Linked DNA regions of Daphnia pulex. The protein of the gene in region 3 interacts with the protein of the main gene of each other region in a pairwise test. Links are inferred from orthologs where the notes say so. Each region holds a gene or a part of one and is shown on either strand. Other genes may lie near its edges. The genes, in order: ubiquitin-conjugating enzyme E2 W-like, ubiquitin-conjugating enzyme E2 N and E3 ubiquitin-protein ligase AMFR-like.

Region 1 (5,235 bases), on a different chromosome or scaffold from region 3:
TATCATACAAGTTCTCTCTACTCCCCCCCCCCCCCCCAACAACAACAACAACTGTAATAGTGATGTGTGAGGTTTATCTATCTCTTGTCTTAAAAAAGAAGAAGCTCTCTAGTTGATTGGATGTGACTTTTATATATATTTCTCTTTCTTCTTCTCCATCTTTGTTTGATATATTTCCTAGGAATTTTCCTTCCTCCACACACACATGAAAAATATATATAAATATATTATTATAGATTGTCTGTTTTTAAATAAAAGAAAAACGTGTGTGTGTGTGTGGTTGGAGAGAGAAAATTCGTGTCAATTATTTATACCGGAGCTCGCACAGAGCTGTTATGTATACCAATCCCCCCCCTGCCCTCCTTATTCTTCTCTCTCTCTCTTTGTAATTCTATTTCAATTTCAAAATTGTTTCTTCGTTTCTCCTTAATGAATTTTAAAAAATGCAGTTCGGATTTTTGTAATTATTATTTTTTAAAAAAGGATAAAATAGCTCGGCGGATTTGTTTCTTCTCAGTGTGTACACGTCCGACGGAATACCGTGCAGCGCTCAATCATTTTAGATTTCCTCCTTTCTGATTTTATTAATTGATTTAAAAAAAAAGAAAAAACGAAAAAAAAAAGTTAAATTGTTTTTTTTTTTTTAAACCTTTCCCTTTTTATTACCCAGGAGAATTTGTTTGTCAAAAAACCTTTCTTCCTCTCCTTTTCTTCAGCTCATATCCGCTATATATACACTCCTCATATGACTGGCTATTTTAACATTAACATGAGTCATGGTGTGTGTGTGTATAATACGATCATTAATTGACGAATGACATTTTTTTTCAAGTCGCCCACCTTAATTAATCTCTACGTTTACCCAAAAGTATGTTTTGTCACGCCCTTCATTGCTGTTGTTATAGCGGAGTCTTAAAAAAAAGCTGTCGGAAACGAACTTTAATCTCTTCTTCTATTTCTTTCGAAACAAAAACATCACACAAGACACACACACACACACATCAAAAAATGTTCTCGAAAAGGATAATAAAACAGAAAAAGTCGATTACAAAATTTGCGCCCTACTACCCTCTGATTTTGAAACCATTTCAGAAATATACAATTCATTATTTACTTGGCTAATTCAAATCGTTTAGTTTTTTTGTCTTCCAAACGTGAAATGAAAAAGAATTTGAGTATAATAGTTGAAACAAATTTTATACGAGCGAAATATTTTTCGTTTAACATTTAAAGAATGGGTGGGGGTAAGATAAAACACAGTAGAAGGGGGGAAAAAGGCTTCGTAGATTTGATGTCGATTAAAAGTCGAAAAATCAAACGCCAAAAGTGTGAAACATTACACATCTGTAGTTTTTCGTGAATATTGCTACAAGTCAAAAATTGGAGAGTATCAACCGCATATTAATCAAGACAGAGAGGAACTGTTTCGTTATGCGAGGAAGTAGTAGGTCAATATCGGGAATGGGAAATCAACGCGATCGATTCGGAAGGGTGGAAAATTTTGACAACTGAAAAAAGAAAATCCATTTTTGTTTTCTTTCGTATTTTTTTGGCGACTAGATTGTCTCTGACGCGAGCATCGCCAGCGTGAAACAGGTTCTTTTTCTTTTCGTAGCGGGAATCGAGGGGGAGAGATATCAACCCGTTTTACACTTCTTCGTCTGGCAAATTGGGAAATGATTTATGGTTAAAAAAGATTAATAATAACTCGGGTTTAGGCGGTAGCCATTCAAACTCACCGTGGTACCACCATTTGGTTTTCTTTGGGTTCTTGCTGCACGTTTTCACGTACATACTGTCATCCGGTGGTCTCTTCTAACGGGTCAATAGTCGTGAATGAGTGATGGGTGAGAAAGATACTTTTTCACACAATTGAAACTGACCTTTTCTTTACAAGAGCTGAGCATTGAGATAATGGAAACACAGACCGAAAAAATGGACAGAGCCGGTGACCAGTCATCGGTCAATATACTGAGGCAGATGTGGCCTGAATAACCGAAAAGGTTGGAGAAAAGAGCCGCGGTTAAATTATTGACCATCTTTTAAGGGTTTCACGCTAGACAGACCGTTGCTGTAGACGTGCGGATGGACAGGGATCTCCGATCCGACGAAAACAACCTAAAGAGAGTGGTCTCAAATGAGTAAAACATACGTGTTGGTTTTGGTCAATTCGTTGACTGAAAGGTGTTACCTCGGGCGAATCGAAAGGGTACTTTGGTCCGAAACGAAACTGTAACTGAAACTGCTCCCCTTCGTAAATCGTTCCTTGAGCTCCATTAATACTCAACACCAACCTGGAAGTGAGATTTGAAAAAAATAAAGTGAAAAAAGTGTGATGCACTTGTCCAACAAAATGTCAAGTCAATCTTACAAGTCCAGGCTCTGGCCCACAGATTCTCCATCGATCACAACACCAGGAGGAGGTTCCTTGATCAAGGAGACAAGCTCCTTTTGCAGCCTTTTCTGTAATATTAAAAAAAAATTGAGTTTTATTTAGATACTGATCTATTCGGCAACAATCAGGGTTAACCTCTTGTCTCTGAAGAACACACGATTGAGTCAGGGATTTGTCACTCATATTCGCAGTGGGCACCAATAATGTGAGACACAACCACCAGCAAGTAATGCGAAAACTATACTCACCGATCCAAGAACTAACTTGCCACTTATGTAGCTTTCTCCTTTTATAGAAAGGAAATGTCACCAGTTTGACAGTACGCTGCAGGGTTTCACTTCACGTGAACCGTGCAAAGCCACACCAGACATGTGCCAAACTGACATGTGCCAATAAGTCAGAACTCTCTTCTAGGGTTTCATTTTCTCAGGTGACTCAATTGGGAAGAATAAGGAAGCAGTTGGTTGAATCTGTGCCATAACCGATTAGCAAGCTTCAAGAACACACACCATCTCCAGAGCAGTATAGCTATTTTTACCGCTAAAAAGACTTCCGAAACCTCAAACCGAGTCAAGAATATTACTTAAAAGAAAAGTTTTACTAGCAAAATGTCAAGGACAAGTCCAAATAATGATGAGATTGAAGGACAAGCTGACATGGCAACCGAAGGTTCCTCGAGTTTCATTTTCTACCAACTACGACTAGATAATTGCAGGCGGCTCTTTAACGTTTCGCCATTCTGAATACGTTCACACTTATTAAACTGAAGCATTTTTTTATTTAATATTTACCTGAGCAGGAGAACATGTGAAACGCGAGTGATGTGATGACATGTTTTGTTTTCTTCCTCCAAAAACGTCTGGGTATTTCGCAGACGCAGTTGTGCGGAACGCTGTGAATTGCGGAAAGCAGATGCGGAAGTTGCGAGTTCAACGACCGTGGAAACTGCCTGTAATAAACATTTATCGTCGTTTATTTCTTTTTACGTCGCAAATAAGATTGCCCTTCATCTCTGATTCAGCGAGTTTCTTTCTTTTCCAGTTCACACGCAGACAAAAAACAAACGTCAATAAGTTGGGGGATTCCAACGTTCACTGAACTTTTGTGGTTCGTGAGCGGAAACAATAACTACGCAAACGGGCCAAGTTGCGTCTTCCTTAACCTCCTTTGTCGTGCAATGTCACTGCTAACTGTCTAATTTGTGTCCCGCGTCAGCTAATTGGGACTGGGTACTGTACATCTCCTATATAACCTTAAGGCAGAAAGTTATCGATTGATGACATATGGTATTATAACAAAACTGAGACGTTGATGTTTTTTTAAAAAGGTGGGAGCCCTTATCTTTTACAAGTGACAACAAAAGCGTAACGGTAGTATTGTTTTCAGTTGGAGATATTTATGGCAGTTGCGAATCCTTTAAGGACTAACAAGATATAGTGACAACAGCAGTGTCATATTGACGTAACACATTATGCAATAGGTGTGAGTGACGCAAGTCGAGCGAATCGACGTTGTTTGATCGATTCTTCATTGTCTCGGCGACAGTAGTGGGAAACAACGAAGTATCAACATTTTTTTTTATTTATTTCGCAAATTAATTAAATAATTTTCTCCAGGCGAGGCTCGAACTCGCGACCTCGGCATTACTTTCAATCTTTATTTTGATGTTAGTTTTGCATATATTACTGTCTATAAGTACCATGCGCTAACCAACTGCGCCACTGGAGATGTTTTGAGAGGACCCAAAACTTAATTCAATTAATATTTTTCTGCAAACATTTGCCATTTTTGTTTAGTCAGATTGCATAATGCATTCTGATACACTGCGGATGTCTTATAACACGGTTTCTATTATGGCGCAAATAAAAAGTTTCCAACACAATTAAAAATGTACATTCTCTTGATTATCTCCGAGCACGACAGATGACATGGCTCAATCGTGTAGGGCATGAGCTTTCAGTTAAATAGCTCATATGTGCCGAGATCGAATCCGATAGAATTGCAAATGATGAAAAATTACTTCCAACTCACGACGGTCTTCTGAAAATACCGTGACGATAAGAGTATTCAATTTCTGAGGCAATTAAGGTTCAATTCAACATAAAAATAATTATTTAATTCGACTGTACATTCATTTAAAAAATCTCAGGATCGATATTACGCTAAGAATTAATTTGAAGTTATAGTCATTTTGAAAAAGGTTTGATTAGTCAAACTACAAACACTATTATCGATATCTAGCGATGGAGTTAGGTATAACAAACACTGCTCCAATCAATAAACCGCAATACACACATTTTGGATAACGAATATCAACATTTTTTAAAATTATTTCGCAAATTAACTAAATGAATTTCTCCAGGCGAGGCTTGAACTCGCGACCTCGGCATTACTTTTTATCTTTAATTTATTGTTAGTTTTGCATTTATTACTGTCGTATAAGTACCATGCGCTAACCAACTGCGCCACTGGAGATATTTTGCGGGTACCCAAATCTTAATTCAATTAATATTTTTCTGCAAACACTTGTTTATTTTTGTTTAGCCAGATTGCATAATGCATTCCGATACACTGCGGATGTCTTACACGGTTCTATTATGTCACAAATGAAAAATTCTCCAACACAATTAATAAAAATGTACATTTTTTTGTTTAACCCCGAGCACGACAGATGACATGGCTCAGTCGTCTAGGGCATGATCATGTAGAAAAATAGCTGAAATGTGCCGAGATCGAATCCGATAGCATTGCAAATGATGAAACACTACTCCCAACTCACGACGGTCTTCTGAAAATACCGTGACGATAAGAGTATTCAATTTCTGAGGCAATTATGATTC
Region 2 (4,351 bases), on a different chromosome or scaffold from region 3:
GAGGCATTTAAATGTTCAATGTGTGATGTAAGAAAAGGAACCTCAACCAGGTAATTTTTCCTTAGCAATATTACCATTTCTAAACATTTAACAGATGTGACAAAACTTGCACGTTTTCAGGAAACCAAGGCTCAATCCTCAGTTGGTACCTCAAGTGTTCAATCCTTCCTTAGCTAACAAAAATAGAAAAGAGAAGGAATCTAAAGAAAGAGATAAATCTGAGAGGAAATCATCAGATGGAAACCCCACCAGGAACAGTAAAGCCAGACCAAGGTATGTTTTAATAAAATTGTTAAAACAAAATTTGATATCTATCCTTCAGTGTGACTTGCTAATTGTTTGTTTAAAATAGGTTGAAAAATGTTGACAGAAGCACTGCTATGCACAAAGAAGTGACAGTGAACAATGTGACAGTAGTCATTACTGAGTTTCGGCCAAAAATTAGCAGCAAGTCAACATCTCCCAGTAACCTTGATCTGGATGCTGGACACACGACCAGTAGTTCTAGCAGTAGTGCCAGCAATCACGGCAACGATCTTTCCCCTGCAGATCAAGAACATTCAGACTGACTAAAGTCGTTGCTCGTGATTCATTTTTTTATTATTATTTAGCATCTCGAGGTATTTTATTTGAACTGTATTTGTTTGCGCACCCAATTGACCCCATACCGATCTTTTCTCAACTGCCAAGAAGTATATAATTTTTAAATATCTATAAAGGCTATAATTTGGTCCCAACCGAATTTCAGTGAGATAGAACTGGAGCGACAGACGTCCAAACCGAAAACTATACATGAAAAACCAAGAGGCAGTTGTCTATAACTATTCTGGATTCAAAGTTTTTCCCTTTTTTTTTTTTGTAACCACGAAATTCCATAATGTTGGAGATTATTTTTGAGTGTTGGGAATTCCTGTTTCTGATCGGATCTCAGTACCAATATTCGCTTCCCTTTTTCGGTTTGAACCTACCTCATCTGAACGGTGCGAAGAGGTCGGGGAAGATTTGGTAAAAAATTGATTATGTCTGTCGAGTGGATGGTTTTCGTTTCGTGATAAATGTGCGCTCTCATCCGTCTTTATAATTTCACCCTCCTCATCCACGACAAGTAAATACACAGCTGTACAATTTGATACTCTAGACTTCCACGGGTGACGGCATTTTTATTATTCTTTAGTATCCTTTTGAGGTACTCGTGGTACTAAACGGTAAAAAGTGTAGGCTATCGACGATCATTTTAACGACGCGTGAATTGGAATGAACCGTCGATAGAACTTTTGACGAGCAAACAAAAGAAGATTGGGATATAAGAACGAGCAAAATGTAGTTTTTTGGCTGATCACCATCGGGGACAGTTCAACCAATTGAAGGGAGGGGAATCAGTCGACAAAGGCTGATGGACGAGGAACAAAAGAAAGCAAAATAATCTAAATTCAAACACAATTTCTCGGTAACGGATTGACAATTTTACTCTTTTTCCTTCCACAGATCCAGGTTTCATATGTTTCCCATAGCATAAGTTCTGGTCCATTCTCGAGCATTACGAATAGCTTCTACCTCGTTGACTTTCCACAACTCAGCAACATCATTGGCCAATGGATCATCGGGATTGGGCGCACTCAATAGAGCTTGAATCGACAACAGCACTGTCCGAATTTGCAAAGCTGGACTCCATTTATCTGAAAATATTAGAAAATATTAAACAAAGCCAAATCCACACACTTAAGTTTTTCAAGCAAATGCAACTTTCTGAAGTTAAAACTGATTTTTTCCCCAGTTACTTAAAAATTCAAAGCACAAATGTCATAACAATACAGGTATACCCTGATAACCAAAACACAAGATTATACATGCATAGAACACATAACACTTGACAATCTTGATAGAGCAAACACTAAAGTAATAAAAATAATCACCTTTCAGAATATCAAGACAAATTCGGCCAAGTTTATCAATATTAGGGTGATAAATCTTTGTCATGAATCGCACTTTAGGTGCAGACATTGGGTACTCTTCAGGCAAAAATAGTTCCAATTTGAAAACACCACCTTCAAATGGAGAACCTTCTGGACCTATGAATTTTAATCAATATGAACTAGTCAGTACCAGAATGACACTTTAAGGTTGCAATTTAAGTTTACAGACCTGCAACCACAACATGGAAATAACGAGCATTTTGTTCATCTGGAACTGCACTAATGCCTGGGACAGGCTCAGCCATCAAACGTTGAGTTTCCTATTGATCAAATTAATGACGAATATACTATATTGCTAGAGAATACTACCGGTCCCATAATAGGATCGGGAGAAAAAAACACGTTGCCTCCCACTTTGATGCAAGTCTACAATTAAGATTTGTGTTACCTTGATTATCCTTCTAGGTAAGCCTGCCATTTCGCATCAATTTGTTGAACAAACAACGAGTATAAAATAAGATTTTCGTATAATAGATGGTAACTTTAAAGCCAAATAGAGAAGACGGAAAGTTTTCACGCTATACGAGTGCCCTATTGCTAATTTAAGACGTTGTCAAATTGTTTGGTGACGAAAATCGGTAGGAGATCGACCCGGCCACACGGGAAGAATTAGACATATAAACATATTATTTTTCAAATTAAGACGATTTATTTAAAATGAACAAAGTTTATTTGAATTGGTTTACAAACGGAAATACACGAGAAAGCTAAACAAAAGGTATTGCTTTTCAAATGCCGGAAATGAGTTTAAACCTTTATTTCAGAACCGTAGAAAATGACCAGTAAAAATTTTTTGGTTAGATTAATTGGCTGTTCTGTTTGCGGAATATTTTAATTATTTTCATGAATCATCTAGAAAGAATTTCGACTTGAAAGTTGAAATAAATTGAAAAAGGGCAAATTAACTAATAAGGCATGATTAAGATTGAATGGCAGGCTTCAACACATAAAATTTTTTATTTTATCACTTTCTTCTCCTATCCTTCTTCATGTTAATTTTATTCCCTTTTTTTATGCAAAATTGCTAGAATTTAACTCGGCAAGTCGGCATCCGGTACTGATCTGACGTCTGACCTCCATGTTGTTTGTTTTTAAACTGTCGTCTGCTAGTATTGTTCGTTCATTGCTTTTGCGTGGTTTCATTCACTCAGCTTCATTCTGTTTTAAAATATAAACCATCAAGTGTCAAACACGGAAAGAATGGATCAAAAATTGGCTAACAAATTATTTGAAGAGGGCGCGTTTTTATTTCTTCTTGGCGTACCAATTGGGACTGAAGTAGGAATAGATTTCAACAGTTGGAGAACCGGCGAAAAATTCAAAGGCATAAAAATGATACCCCCTGGAATTCACTATATTTATTACAGGCAAATAAGTTATTTTTTGTTAGAACAGTTGTGTGAGTGTAACATTCACTGTGAGGTACAAAATGTGATTGTATATTTTTATATAATTTCTAGCTCTGTAAGCAAGGAAGGTTCCGTAGCGCCAAGAACAGGTTTCTTTTACAACTTCAATAAGAAGGAAGTTGTGGTCCGTAAGTGGAACCCAGAAATAGAAGATGTCATCAACGATTGTAATTTTATTTTATAAATCATTATTTAATATTAATTTATTATTTAGTGTTTATCCATAATAGGTACTGATGAAGAAAGAGAAAGTTTAAAAGCCAATTTAAAAAATCTTGATCAGCACTTGGGTCCATATCCATTTGATACCTGGAAGAAATGGATGTCTCTCAGCAGTAAATTGACAAGTATATTTTCTTATACATTATGTAATCTGTACAAAAATAAAATGTCTAACAATTAATATTTAGCTGATGTAGTTGGGAAAGTGGAACCCCTTCAGCAAAAGATTTCATCAGTTACAGAATTAATTTCATCAGAAGATGTACCAGCACCAGCAGAATCTCCAGTGAAAGAAAAAAGAATAAAGAGGTCAAATTATGAAGATGAATTACTACCGCACATGCAACCAAAGCCAGGCACAGCGTTAAATTTTACCAAAGTCCCTGTTGATTTCTATCCAGTAGGATCAAGTGCCATGGAAATCACTAAACATAGCATTGACACATCTTATTTACTGGAACAAATGCTGTCAACTTGGGAAAGGTCGGCATTTTTTTAATATTTATTTTTCGGAACGTAAAAAATACCAAATAGTTTGCTGTATTTAATAATAAATTATTTTCTTGTTTAGACCCAATCAAATGCTTGCTGAACTTCAAATGGCGTTTTTGTGTTTTTTGATAGGACAAGTTTACAGTGCTTTTGAACACTGGAAGAACGTGATTCGTATTTTTTGTTTTGCTGATGAGATTCTGTTGAAAAATCCATCATTAATTGTGGAGTTCATTGGGGATATCTATTTTCAGG
Region 3 (5,224 bases):
TATACATATTGCAGAAAGTTTGGAAGAGCGTATCCACGTATACGCCAAGCGCCAACGAATAGAAGTAATTGAAACTGACGCCAATTGCCCTTGATGCCTGATCATGTGTTAAAACTGCAATTGTGAATAAAACTTCTGTACCAAGGATCATGCTTTATTTAATTTGAATTTTTAGGGGTTTAAATTGTTGCCATAGCCATATTATACTCGCATAAAACGCTACTTTTGAAAGAAAATCACCTATTCTTGTTCAAGATATTAAGGGAAAGATTTATTAATCTCAGAAGAAAAAAAATGTCACACATTTCCGATTTCGTCCTCTACATGTTTGGTAATCAAATGTTACTATTGATTGCGCATTCACTTCGTCGGTAGTGAATCAGTAAAATCACGTTTGTAGGCCCTGTTTGACAGTGAACGTCTGTGTGATGGGACTAGCTTGCGGCATAGAGAGGGTTTTCTTCCACGCCCAGTCGAGCGAAGCGGTATTTCGTAATTATTAAAAAGGCACTATCTTTCTACTCATAATTTACCTTGCCAATATACAAACAGGTTTTTTGAATTATGAGATGCACTAATGCATAATTTACGCACTTTAGGATCAATAACAAATTAGAATCACACGTGTATAGCAAGAAAATCAACTTTCAATGATAGTGGAATTGTTTTCGAGTGCTTGTCTCTGAAGAAAGCGATTTCGAGCTTCCGCGATTAATTCATGCTTACGACATTGAAGAATGTGTTGTCTTTCTTGCGGATCATCAACAAAGAGCTTCTCTGGTTCCTGGGAAACATCAAATTGGTTTTCTTGCCTGGCGAATGTTGGCAACGTAGATAGACTAGGCTCTTGTTGAAAGCTGGGAAGTGTGGGCAGAAGACGACCCTCTAATATATTCTCAACTGTTAAGTCTACTGAGCGAGTTTGCCGTAGATCTTCAACGATAACAGAAAACGAATAATCGGGAAACAATTGAAGTACCTACAACGATAAACATTTAAATTGTTGAACAAGAATTAGTAGAATTTTATGATAGATTTCGTCACACCTGATCAGCTAAAGCTTCCAATTGAGAGTTTTCTGCAGCTGCTACTACCGGAGTATCAGTGTTTTGTTGAAACAGTCGACTCCAGCCCGTCCACGATATAAAACTTGCAGTTTCCCGGGGACGTGAAGACGAAGCAGTTTCTTTCGATCCATCTTCTAAAAGTTGGCGTCGACACGTAGGGCACGTAGGATCCTGTTCCAACCAGTGCAACAGACAACCTATACAAGTATAGATAGATGAAGGATTGCCTCATTAATTGTTATGAATCAATACCATGATGAAAATGATGACCACACGGCAACCGTCTGGCTACAGCTGCTGCTTCCCAGCAAATGGCACATTTGTTATCCTCCCATTCAGATTCGAGTTCGAAATGGAGTGTTTCCAAGGGACAGCACTATTATAACAGAATAAATTACTAAATGATTAAAACTAGAGACTTGGCAGAAGAAGGGGAGATTAAGATATTTTAGATCGACTCGAGTACAAACCAATTCCACCAATTTCAGCAACCGTTTGTAGTTCCCGTGTCGCCGGAGACGTCCACACAGCTGTTCGTAGAGCACTCGCAGTTGCATGAAAATGACCAAAGATGCCATAGAGAGCAGCATATTCGCTCGCAGAAGCATGTGAATCTAAACGAAAAGAGACAAAAAAGGGGTTACCGAAATTCAGTCGCATTGCAGAAAGCAATTTCGTCTCACATGATGTGCCAAATCCACAACGAGGCATGAAATCTCCACCGCCAATTCCACGTAGTACGACGAAGGACTCCACCCTATGATCCAACAATCGTCAGATGTTTGAGCACATCGAGAGTCTCTGTTGCGAATGCGCAACTCAAGTAACCTTGAGAGATCTGATGGATGGGCGGATGACAAGACTGCAGGTAGAGGATGTATCTAAAGATAACGTGGGTGGTACGTAAAGCCAAGAGAAGACATTCCGGGGCGACCAAGGCAAATGTAATCCATCCAGCGCGTTGTCCAACGGCGAGGCAAATCAAAAATAATAATCCCGATGCCACCAGAATCGATCCCAGCAGGGTAAGCAAGCGGATGTGTCGATTTCGAGGGGTACATGGAGTCATAGATAACTATAATTTCGCCAAACATAAGATAAATTACAATACCTGTTTGAGCTTTTAAAAAAGAAAGATAAAATCCAATTACATATTCAAATCTGTCTTGGCAAAGTTGAGCATGAATGTGTAGAAAGCCAATAACAGAAAACCAGGACCCCCATAATATAACACCTTCCATACTTTGAACATTTTTAATGCCAAATATAAAAATAAATTTGTAAAACACAAAATTCCAAAACTTGTCTTTGATGTGCTGTAGTTCAGAAACTCTTAGTTCCCCAAACACCTGCTTCTGCAGCCAATTTCCAAATAATACAAGGAGGCAGTAAGCCATGTTCACAACAATCTGTAAAGGATAGAAGATAAAAAAGGATTAAAGTGTTGGATATTGACTAATAATATAGGATGGCCATGTTCTAACCCAAATGCAGAGACTGTCATGGATAGAAAATGACACAATATCTTGAGCTCTGGAGCTGAGCCAGTAACGAGACAGGATGTTTGAAATAAATGCTTGCAAGGAGTTGGGAATCTCTTGGCTGCTATTCGTTTTAACAAATTGCATCCTCCATTCAGGGTTTTGTGTTTTTTCTGCAGCGTAGTGAAGAGACAAACCCAAAAGAGAAACACTGACTACCGCGTAAGCTTCCAAACTCGGGAGAGGTAGTCTCTCAAGTAGTAAGACAGGCATGTTGTTGTTGTTGACACAGAAAAATTGGGTTCACAAGACGACAAAACTACTAACAAATCTGGGGTGAAAATTGCATTTGAAAACATCAGCAGAAATAACTAGGATTAGCTAGCACAGCAATTCAAGGCAATTTCATCTTGATAACACTGCGTTATCTAACGACCATTTCGATAACAAGTGCCTTGTCAAATGATTCAATAATCCGAAAATGTGTCAAAACTCTGATAAGGCGGGTAAGGCTAAACAGCATCTAGTACACGTAAACACTGCAAACGGAATGAAAAAAAATTACTGACGTTTTGGGCGTCAACCTCAAAAAGTTCCAGCAAACTATTTTCTAGCAAGGTCAAAAATATGCAAAAATTACAAGGCAGATTTCGTCTCGCTATCCCCAGGGGAAAAAATGTATTCAATGTCAACTTTGCATACATGTTCTCAAATGTAGATGTAGACTGAATTGCGCTCTCGGAGACTCGGACAGTCAAGCTAATAAATATTCAATTATTCATTACGCATGTGATGCTGGGACTGGGCTGAATCTGTTTTTAGATCGACGAATACTGGTTTGTTATTAAAAATGAAAAAGATACGTCACAAGTCTGAGTAGATTTTATTGTTTTTACTCAGAAACAACTTCAATAAGATCCCTTAATAATTTTCTGAGATATATTCGCTAAATATTCCGCAACATTCTCCCGCACCAAAAATGCTCAGTTTTATGGCACTGCCCTAAGACACGCATAAGAGTACTCAATTACGCTAATCTAAATTGCACTCCCGAATCAACCTTGAAAAGAAAATGTATTCACTATTATTATTTCTGCTTTGATGGCAACGCGTGATGGAAGACAGAAAAAAGGGAGAAACATCAGAAATAAAACGTTGTCTAGCTGCATGTCTAGCCGATTTTATCGTCTTGTTGGGCGGTTATGAAAAAAGTAGCGTGTCATTTCGTACCAGATGGGGACCGGAAGAAGGTGTCCTTGCACACACACGGCACTGTTATAACGCCTGATTTGCGTCCTCAACATTCGTTACAATAGGGCGTCAGCTCTGCAAAGTAACTGAACCGTTAAATTCTGTAAATGTTCACATTCGAGACAATTTGAATCCACTACATACCAAAGTCTTATCGCGTACCTCCTGATGGTCACGACAGGTCAAGGTTTCCATTTGAAATTTGCGCCCTGTTTCGCTTTTATCCGATGTAGTGGTAATCCTTCAATATAAATAAATGAAGCAACAATAACTTTGCGAAAACAAGGGATGGCTAAGTAATTGAAGTGACTTTTGAAGTTCATTTCATTTTCTCTTTCTCTGCACTTTAAAGAGAATCTTTTTTTTTTTTTCATTTTGGCTCTATTCCAATTTCTTATACTGTAGCGTTTTACAACACGCATTTCACAAGCAGTTAACATTTATGTTTATCATGTTAGTGTTAAGTTGTTATTTGCGAGGTTATTTGGTTGAGCCAAATTTGGATTATTGGAATTCAACAAGATATGTTTGCGGAAAACGCCGCTATACAGCTCCCAGCATTAAATGGGTAATATAGCTTCAAAGCCGAATTCTGGCTATCATTCCAATTATTTTTCAGACGAATTAAGACCTATTCTTCGTAGACGACCTTCCAACCTGTCAAGTAAAGAAATATGGAATTCTTTTCTTTTGATTAAAATTCTATTTTATAAGTTGTATTTCTTAAAAGACTGTTTATTTATTATTCCATGAGCGAGAGCAGTCTAAATGTGTGCGTCCATTAAAAACGGGTTAGTTATTGGAGCAGGCCCGCGTCAGCAATTGTTCACGAGTCGGTTGCATGTGACTTTGAAGAAGCCATAAATTTCGTCGCGTTGGAGACGCGAAACAAGACCAAACGACAATCACGCTGGGGTTTTCCATATTAAAGAAACTTGTTCGTTTCCTTTAATTGGATGGATCACTCTTTCGTGTTATTATCAAACTTGTGCAAAACATTATCGTCGATTATTCTTCGTATTTAAGAAATTCCAATGCCCTTCGAAGGTAATTTTTTTAAATTATTATCCGGACTAATGATGATGACACGAGAAATAATTATCAAAATAAAGAAAATTCAACGAACTTCTTTTTTTTTTTCAAAAATAAAAGATGCATCTTTTTTAAAATACTGCAGCTTAGTCGAATACGTTGCGGCGTAGATGCCGACGCGAAGGCCAACACGTAAATATAGAATTCACCTTTAGGCCATTGAACAACCGATCTATTATTTTGAAATATTCCTATCCCTGGATGTTAAATTTCTTGATTCTTGGAAACGTTCACGTGATTCCAGTAAACGTGAACGCCAAAGGTCTGATCGCTTTTCAATTTACTGGCACTTTGTGATGGCAGCAGTGGGACGATCAGCGTCCGCTCGACTAA

What was found.
Region 1: the proteins of E3 ubiquitin-protein ligase AMFR-like (region 3) and ubiquitin-conjugating enzyme E2 W-like interact in a two-hybrid assay, tested with the Homo sapiens proteins (2 studies listed by BioGRID and IntAct). The link is inferred for Daphnia pulex from reciprocal best matches to the Homo sapiens genes AMFR and UBE2W.
Region 2: the proteins of E3 ubiquitin-protein ligase AMFR-like (region 3) and ubiquitin-conjugating enzyme E2 N interact in a two-hybrid assay, tested with the Homo sapiens proteins (2 studies listed by BioGRID and IntAct). The link is inferred for Daphnia pulex from reciprocal best matches to the Homo sapiens genes AMFR and UBE2N.

Annotation. Positions count from the first base shown.
Region 1 is NC_060027.1:2,994,904-3,000,138, forward strand, and holds ubiquitin-conjugating enzyme E2 W-like, read right to left. Parts: upstream 3,116-5,235; 5' UTR 2,579-3,115; coding exon 2,531-2,578; intron 2,464-2,530; coding exon 2,372-2,463; intron 2,295-2,371; coding exon 2,192-2,294; intron 2,119-2,191; coding exon 2,067-2,118; intron 1,988-2,066; coding exon 1,884-1,987; intron 1,816-1,883; coding exon 1,740-1,815; intron 1,662-1,739; coding exon 1,648-1,661; 3' UTR 935-1,647; downstream 1-934. UniProt on the Homo sapiens protein: Accepts ubiquitin from the E1 complex and catalyzes its covalent attachment to other proteins.
Region 2 is NC_060019.1:11,512,653-11,517,003, reverse strand, and holds ubiquitin-conjugating enzyme E2 N, read right to left. Parts: upstream 2,589-4,351; 5' UTR 2,392-2,588; coding exon 2,362-2,391; intron 2,234-2,361; coding exon 2,143-2,233; intron 2,070-2,142; coding exon 1,914-2,069; intron 1,677-1,913; coding exon 1,495-1,676; 3' UTR 1,131-1,494; downstream 1-1,130. Other genes in the region: YY1-associated factor 2-like, read left to right, coding at 1-50, 121-273, 353-569; protein AAR2 homolog, read left to right, coding at 3,174-3,340, 3,434-3,549, 3,613-3,729, 3,793-4,087, 4,176-4,350. UniProt on the Homo sapiens protein: The UBE2V1-UBE2N and UBE2V2-UBE2N heterodimers catalyze the synthesis of non-canonical 'Lys-63'-linked polyubiquitin chains. This type of polyubiquitination does not lead to protein degradation by the proteasome.
Region 3 is NC_060017.1:3,097,800-3,103,023, forward strand, and holds E3 ubiquitin-protein ligase AMFR-like, read right to left. Parts: upstream 3,095-5,224; 5' UTR 2,822-3,094; coding exon 2,552-2,821; intron 2,477-2,551; coding exon 2,219-2,476; intron 2,143-2,218; coding exon 1,896-2,142; intron 1,825-1,895; coding exon 1,751-1,824; intron 1,682-1,750; coding exon 1,538-1,681; intron 1,444-1,537; coding exon 1,320-1,443; intron 1,265-1,319; coding exon 1,047-1,264; intron 980-1,046; coding exon 641-979; 3' UTR 613-640; downstream 1-612. Other genes in the region: tRNA pseudouridine(38/39) synthase-like, read left to right, coding at 15-94. UniProt on the Homo sapiens protein: E3 ubiquitin-protein ligase that mediates the polyubiquitination of lysine and cysteine residues on target proteins, such as CD3D, CYP3A4, CFTR, INSIG1, SOAT2/ACAT2 and APOB for proteasomal degradation.